2 linked regions of the Xenopus tropicalis genome follow. The protein of the gene in region 1 purifies or fractionates together with the protein of each later gene. This does not show direct contact. Links are inferred from orthologs where the notes say so. Each region holds a gene or a part of one and is shown in the gene's direction. Other genes may lie near its edges.

Region 1 (3,822 bases):
TGTGGAAATCAATTCGGAACCGGAGGAAGAAAATACATTGTGATTCTAGAACCCCAGGTATGAAGGTAACACTTTGCACTCACTCATTATACTCACACTTACACTCACACACTCACTCATTATACTCACACTTACACTCACTCACTCATTATACTCACACTTACACTCACACACTCATTATACTCACACTTACACTCACTCACTCATTATACTTACACTCACACACTCATTATACTCACACTCACACACTCACTCATTATACTCACACTTACACTCACACACTCACTCACTCATTATACTCACACTCACTCATTACACTCACTCACTCACTCACTCACTCACACACTTACACACACACTCGCTCACACACTCACTCTCACGCACACGCTCACTCTCACACACTTACTCACACACTCTTACACACACACTCGCTCATACACTCACTCATGCACTCACTCATTCTCACACACTCACTCTCACACACTGTATGGGCAGTAGTGGAGTCAGGATCTGTTTCCAGCAGGTGAGGGCTATGGAGAATGGGCCGTCAATGCTGCCGCAGTCTATGAGAATACTCTCGGGTTCCCGGACACTGAACTGCAGAGGTGGGAGCTGCCAGATGGGTGGACAATCCAGGATGTGGTTAAAATTTGCCCCGGTCAGTTTGGGCGCATCAGTGGCGCGTGTCTGTATGAACCGGGGGAACCCAATGTCAGGCACAGGGTCATCATCAAGGAGCTTTCAGGTGAGTGTAAAGGGTAAATAACCAACAAGCAGGGTAGGAGATACCAGTCCAGTAGAACCTTCACCCACTCTCAGTCTCTGTAGAACCTTTATCCACTGTCAGTCTCTGTAGAACCTTCACCCACTGTCAGTCTCTGTAGAACCTTCACCCACTGTCAGTCTCTGTAGAACCTTCACCCACTGTCAGTCTCTGTAGAACCTTCACCCACTGTCAGTCTCTGTAGAACCTTCACCCACTGTCAGTCTCTGTAGAACCTTCACCCACTGTCAGTCTCTGTAGAACCTTCACCCACTGTCAGTCTCTGTAGAACCTTCACCCACTGTCAGTCTCTGTAGAACCTTCACCCACTGTCAGTCTCTGTAGAACCTTCACCCACTGTCAGTCTCTGTAGAACCTTCACCCATTGTCAGTCTCTGTAGAACCTTCACCCATTGTCAGTCTCTGTAGAACCTTCACCCACTGTCAGTCTCTGAAGAACCTTCACCCACTGTCAGTCTCTGTAGAACCTTCACCCACTGTCAGTCTCTGTAGAACCTTCACCCACTGTCAGTCTCTGTAGAACCTTCATCCACTGTCAGTCTCTGTAGAACCTTCATCCACTGTCAGTCTCTGTAGAACCTTCATCCACTGTCAGTCTCTGTAGAACCTTCACCCACTGTCAGTCTCTGTAGAACCTTCACCCACTGTCAGTCTCTGTAGAACCTTCACCCACTGTCAGTCTCTGTAGAACCTTCATCCACTGTCAGTCTCTGTAGAACCTTCATCCACTGTCAGTCTCTGTAGAACCTTCATCCACTGTCAGTCTCTGTAGAACCTTCATCCACTGTCAGTCTCTGTAGAACCTTCACTCACTGCCAGTCTCTGTAGAACCTTCACCCACTGTCAGTCTCTGTAGAACCTTCATCCACTGCCAGTCTCTGTAGAACCTTCATCCACTGTCAGTCTCTGTAGAACCATCATCCACTGTCAGTCTCTGTAGAACCTTCACCCACTGTCAGTCTCTGTAGAACCTTCACCCACTGTCAGTCTCTGTAGAACCTTCACCCACTGTCAGTCTCTGTAGAACCTTCTCTCACTGTCAGTCTCTGTAGAACCTTCACCCACTGTCAGTCTCTGTAGAACCTTCATCCACTGTCAGTCTCTGTAGAACCTTCACCCACTGTCAATCTCTGTAGAACCTTCACTCACTGCCAGTCTCTGTAGAACCTTCATCCACTGTCAGTGTCTCTAGAACCTTCACCCACTGTCAGTCTCTGTAGAACCTTCTCTCACTGTCAGTCTCTGTAGAACCTTCACCCACTGTCAATCTCTGTAGAACCTTCATCCACTGTCAGTGTCTCTAGAACCTTCACCCACTGTCAGTCTCTGTAGAACCTTCACCCACTGTCAGTCTCTGTAGAACCTTCACCCACTGTCAGTCTCTGTAGAACCTTCACCCACTGTCAGTCTCTGTAGAACCTTCACCCACTGTCAGTCTCTGTAGAACCTTCATCCACTGTCAGTCTCTGTAGAACCTTCACCCACTGTCAGTCTCTGTAGAACCTTCACCCACTGTCAATCTCTGTAGAACCTTCACTCACTGCCAGTCTCTGTAGAACCTTCACCCACTGTCAGTCTCTGTAGAACCTTCATCCACTGCCAGTCTCTGTAGAACCTTCACCTACTGTCAGTCTCTGTAGAACCTTCACCCACTGTCAATCTCTGTAGAACCTTCACTCACTGCCAGTCTCTGTAGAACCTTCACCCACTGTCAGTCTCTGTAGAACCTTCATCCACTGCCAGTCTCTGTAGAACCTTCACCCACTGTCAGTCTCTGTAGAACCTTCACCCACTGTCAGTCTCTGTAGAACCTTCACCCACTGTCAGTCTCTGTAGAACCTTCACCCACTGTCAGTCTCTGTAGAACCTTCATTCACTGTCAGTCTCTGTAGAACCTTCACCCACTGTCAGTCTCTGTAGAACCTTCATCCACTGTCAGTCTCTGTAGAACCTTCACCCACTGTCAGTCTCTGTAGAACCTTCACCCACTGTCAGTCTCTGTAGAACCTTCACCCACTGTCAGTCTCTGTAGAACCTTTATCCTCTTGTATCTTGGTTCTGTCCCAAAGAGAACTGCAGTCCCGGAGAAGCTCAGGATTTTATTGATCTCATCCGGTTTTACTCTCGGGTCTGTAACCACGACAACCTGCTGAAAATGTATTGGTGTAGAACCTCCTTGAGCCCAGTGTGCATCATCCTGAAAGCCATGAACCTTGGGAATCTGCTTCACTTTCTCTGGAGATCCCGTGAGGTACCCAGACCGACTCCCCCAAATACCGACTCCCCCAAATACCGACTCCCCCAAATACCGACTCCCCCAAATATATTCCCTAAAACATGTAGGTATTTTGGGATGTGGGTTAATGTAGTAACTGCCCTGTTGGGGTACATGCTGAATGGATCCACTCATGGGCAATTAAAGGGCCACATTGTACCCCCAGGTGAGTCACAGATACCCACAATGCCACACAGGGCCCACAATATACCAGGTTTGGGAAATGTATGTGCGTATGTAGTTGTGGGGGTCATTTTCCTTTACATTCTCCATTTCACCCCCCACAGGGCAACCTCGCTGCTAAGGATCCTCTCTATAATATCACCGAGAAGAAGGTCTACTCAATGGCTTCCCAAGTGGCAAGTGGCCTGGTAGGTATTGAGCCAATAGCCTTTACCCAGCCCCCCAGTGGGCTCCTTGGGGCGGCCAATAGATACAACGTGGGCACCTTGCACTTCCTGTTTGGCACCTACAGGTGGCGCTACACATACATGTGAATCAAGTTCTTACCTTCTAAATAATGTTTTTATGGAGACACATTGACCCCCCTCAGTAAGGAACATGTGGGGGGCGGGGCTAGCAGTGATTGGCATGGATGTGGGCAACCAGTTTCTGCGGGCAAGTGCCAGCGATGTGAAGACTGTCGATGGGTCCATTTGTACCTAAGGGAACTGAGCCCCAAAATTGGCACCAATATTATATGTTCCAGGTTACAGCGATCCAGTGAGGCTGACGGTTCCATTAGGGGGGACGCTTTGCCTAT
Region 2 (4,583 bases), on another chromosome or scaffold:
GTACAAATAATATTTAATATTGATTGCTTAATGTAAGGGGTCTAAATTACAAATACAAAATAATATAAATATATAAATGTATATTTAAAAGGGCTCATCTGCTCTGTACTATAATATGCATCTCATCACCAACAGAGTTAGATGGTATCATAAAAGATAAAAATAGTGGGTAATGTATTTAGTTGGCCAGTTACTGTCAATAAAATTTGCTCCTCCAAAGACTCTTTTAAAAATTGGAAATCAGGTACTGATGATCTACCAGCAATACTGGCTTCGTTCTCCATAGTACACACTAAGGGAGGTAGCACACGACGAGTTTACTTGCCCCCGATAAATCTTCGCTATTGTGGGTGACTAATCTCGAAATGCCATCCCACAGACAAGAATGTAACAATACCTGGTAGTCTAGTGGGGCGGCGGGGACGCCCGCCGCCTCCTCCGGTGCGGGGACGCCCACCGTTGTCTTCTCGCTCTGCCGTTTATGCGCATGCGCACTCCTGAAGCCTGTAGTCGTCCAAAGTTTCCGACCGAAACACTACTTTTTTTAAAGCATTTCCTTTATATTTAGATGAGTACAATTTGTTGGCACGATATTGTTTTTCACACGTCCCTTTTAAACATAAAATCTCTGCTGCTACAGTAGTAGTGGATCTAGTGGCTGTGTGTATTGTTGGCAAACAGGAATAAGGTGACTTGTTCACTGCACAAATCAAAGCTTTGAGCAGAGAAAAAATGTTTATTACTTTTTGGTCAAATATTTGGAGCGAAAGCAAGTATTGCCAGCAGTCTCGGGCTGGCCCACAGGGATACCAGGAAAATTCCCGGTGGGCCCAGGTGCCAGTGGGCCCCCCAGCTTCTAGCTATTTGGCCTAATTCATGGTCATTGCTTATTTTTCTATGGGAACAAAGCAACTAAATATATAGAATAGATTATAGTATGTAAAGATAAAAAACACTATGAAAATATAGAGACTGAGTAAGAAATGGGTGAAAAATAGTTTGGAGAGCGTGGGCCCATGGGCTAAGGTTTTCTGGTGGGCCCCTGGCATCCCAGTCCAACACTGATTGCCAGTAAACACCAGAGAAAAAATAAAATGCAAGTCAAAGAAAAAAAAAAAGATTATTTTTTTTGCATCCTGGCACAAGGCGATTAACAAATGGATTTGTTGCAATGGTTTTGTTTTTGGTGTTTACATGTATTTGCCCTGGAAAAGAAGATAATGTGAGCGCAGCAAAAAAACCCAAAAAACAGTAAGTATATTTTGCTCTCAAAAAAGTTTTTTTTTAACTTTCTGATAGAAGATACTGGGGGCAAAACAAAAAGACTTCTGATAAACTATTGATACGTATAACTTGTAAGAGCGGAAGAGAAAATAAAAATTGTGAACCACCGGCCCCCTATTGCTTGAGCCAGCACAGCGCATAGCGCCTTACTGTTTGTAGTTGCCAGACACTAAACCACCTCGACCTAGCCTGTCACTCCCCCACGGAGACAACGTATAGCGTCCGTACGCTTATATATACGTTCACCGTGACGTCACCGTTATCGCGAGATGAGGCTTGTGACGTCTGGATTAGCTGTCCGGCAGGAGTCAAGGAGCTAGACGTTAACGGCGCTGCGGGACTTTTAAACAGCGAACCGGGACTGCGGACTTTGCTAAGAAGACCGGGATTGTCCCGGCAAAAGTGGGACTTTTGGGCGGTATGCGATAAAGTACAGTAAGTATAACTGTACTGCCCCTAAATGGCCTTAGCACAGGTTTATAAACGCATGTCCTTGTCTTTAGCCATAGAAAATAAGTCAATACACTGTGATATCCTTGTGCAGCCATATGGAAAGAAATAAGTCTACCCTGCACCCACATTGATAATCTCACCGCACATTAACATTGATGTCTGTGCGTTTTATTTATAAATATATCCGTCTAGGTTACGTGTACACATACACCATGTGTGTTTATTATTGCTTGGACATATGTGATAAGGATGACTTTTGCTTTGTGTACAGGCACCTTTGCTTACCCCCAAACCATCATCAAGATGTCTGAGAACCAGGGTAATATTCCTCTCAATAACGCTAATGGCAACCGTGTTCGAACTCCTAACCTGAATCAGAATCCCTTGATTAATGTTCGAGATCGTCTCTTCCATGCATTGTTCTTCAAGATGGCTGTGACCTACGCAAGACTGTTCCCCCCTTCCTTTCGCAGAATATTTGAGTTCTTTGTACTTCTGAAGGTAATAAGAAAGGCGTTTTGGTTTTTTTTTTTCCTTGGTGACAAAACTACTGTGACAGTGTGAAAAGTTCTCCTTGTATCTGCTTGGGGTTTCTTCCATGTACTCTACCATCTCCCACACTTTGATAACATACAGGCAGGTTAATTGGATTCCGATAAAACTGACCCTAGTTTGTGTGAATGTGGTAGCGACCCTAGATTGCAAGCTTCTCTGGGGCAGGGACTAATGTAAATGGTGGTTACACTTTTCCACAGCATTTCAGAGGTTATCAGTGCTGTATAAATGCAATCAAAGTAGTGGCCCTTTTGTTTGATATATCGCTTTTCTTTCTAACATGTATTTTTGTCATGTAAATTGTTAAGTCATATAAAGGTATGGGATCCCTTATCCGGAAACCCATTATCCAGAAAGCCCCGAATTACGGAATGCCCGTCTCCCATAGACTCCATTTTAATCAAATAATTCAAAATTTTAAAACTGATATCCTTTTTCTCTGTAGTAATAAAACAGTATCTTGTACTTGATCCCAACTAAGATATAAATAATCCTTATTGGATGTAAAACAATCACATAGGGTAAAATTAATGTTTTATTTGTTCTTTAGTAGACTTAAGGTATGGAGATCCAAATTACAGAAAGACCCCTTATCTGGAATACCCTTGGTCCCGAGCATTCTGGATAATGGGTGCTATACCTGTATACTTTTTAGAGTTCCATTGTTTTAGAAATTCGGATAGGCCATATATCTCTTATAATATTAATATCAGTGTTACCTTTTGGAGTTTTTCTGTTAAAGTCACAAGTTTTTTCCAACAGGGCTACTGTGAGATTAAATACATTTTGTATTGTTTTTGGCCTATATGCACAGGCTTTTGGTCTAGAGCAGAGAAGGCAAATGGTGGTGCACTTTCTTGCAGAAAAATTGAGAACTTAGTGGCCTCTCTTTTGTAAATTTTCATTTATACCACTTTACATGCATTAGATAGAGCCTTCTTTCTTTGTATAAAGTTAATGCTATTGATAAATCAAACAGTACCCTTAACAACTCATAATATAAAAGCATTCTCGTGACCCTTTACGAATATCCAAGCTTTGTGACATCTTGGGGGAGATTAAACAAATTTAATTTGAAGGGATGCTATAATTCCTGTTCTATCTTATTATTTACTTTTCATCTGTATGTACTTCTGATAAGGGGTAAGCGCTGAGCAGTTTTCAGTTACTAAATATATTTTGTTTTTGTGAAATGACTAAGGTCAATATGAAATGAGACTTTTTTTTGTCTGAAAATGTGCTTCTATTGTTGAAACAAAATGCCTAAAAATACACTGCAAACAATGTCAGTCGCCAAGAGGCCAAGAACTCCTAGATAAACTACTAACAGGTTCTAAACTGTTCAATGGGCTTAATTATAGCAACCAATCAGATCTTTGCTTTTGCATTTTTAGCTCTGACCATTGACCTTTTATCCAGATGGATCTGAAAGTTTTTGTAGGTCTGCCAAATTTCTTTTCTTTTTGCCAATAAAAATTAGGAATAAAATAAATATTTTGCTAGGGTAAGCCAACTATCATGGAAAAATATAAGGTCAATATATAGCTTTCTTTAGGCCTCAGGGGCATATAGGAATTGGAGTTCAGTTTAGCAGATTTATATTATAGACACCAGAAATTCTTGTTGGTCTGCTCTGACAAAATGTGAAAAAAAGTAATGTACTTTCTCACTTAGTGTTTAAAGGGGTGGTTTACCTTTTAAGTTAACTTTTAGTATGTTATAGAGCGGCCACTTCAGAGCAACTTTTCAATTGGTCTTCATTATTTATTATGTATAGTTTTTTAATTATTTGTCTCCTACTTCTAACTCTTTGCAGATTTTAAACAGGGGTCACTGATCCCCACAGCCAAAAAACTATTGCTTTGTGAAACTTCAGTTTAATTGTTATTGCTACTTTTTTAGTATTTATTTTTCTATTCAAGTCCTCTCCTAGTCTCCTTAGTCTTTCATTCATTCAAACCACACCCTGGTTGCTAAGGTAATTTCAATTGTAGCAACCAAATAGCTGCTAAAACTCCAAACAGGGCTGCTAAGCAAAAACTGAAATAATTAAACTACAAATAATAAAAAATAACTAACAGTTACTAAAAGATAACTCAAAGTTGAACAGCCCCTTTAAGTAGGCTAGATATTGTGATACTTTTCGTCCTGTCTCTGCTTGCCTGTATAATCTGCAGCAGGAGAAAGTGGGCGTTTTTATGGTTTCCTTCCTTCAGATTGTTAGCGACATACCCTAACCCTTGGTACCTGCTGACACAATGGATATAAGAAACCAAATAAATAAAAAACAT

The links.
Region 2: the proteins of tyrosine-protein kinase STYK1-like (region 1) and tmem259 purify together in Homo sapiens (affinity purification with mass spectrometry; 3 studies listed by BioGRID and IntAct, with this or other methods). This does not show direct contact. The link is inferred for Xenopus tropicalis from reciprocal best matches to the Homo sapiens genes STYK1 and TMEM259.

Annotation. Positions count from the first base shown.
Region 1 is NC_030683.2:133,063,296-133,067,117, forward strand, and holds part of tyrosine-protein kinase STYK1-like, read left to right. Parts: coding exon 1-57; intron 58-520; coding exon 521-745; intron 746-2,853; coding exon 2,854-3,035; intron 3,036-3,346; coding exon 3,347-3,430; intron 3,431-3,822. UniProt on the Homo sapiens protein: Probable tyrosine protein-kinase, which has strong transforming capabilities on a variety of cell lines. When overexpressed, it can also induce tumor cell invasion as well as metastasis in distant organs.
Region 2 is NC_030677.2:100,354,021-100,358,603, forward strand, and holds the start of tmem259 (membralin), read left to right. Parts: upstream 1-1,588; 5' UTR 1,589-1,719; intron 1,720-2,008; 5' UTR 2,009-2,040; coding exon 2,041-2,238; intron 2,239-4,583. UniProt on the Homo sapiens protein: May have a role in the ERAD pathway required for clearance of misfolded proteins in the endoplasmic reticulum (ER). Promotes survival of motor neurons, probably by protecting against ER stress.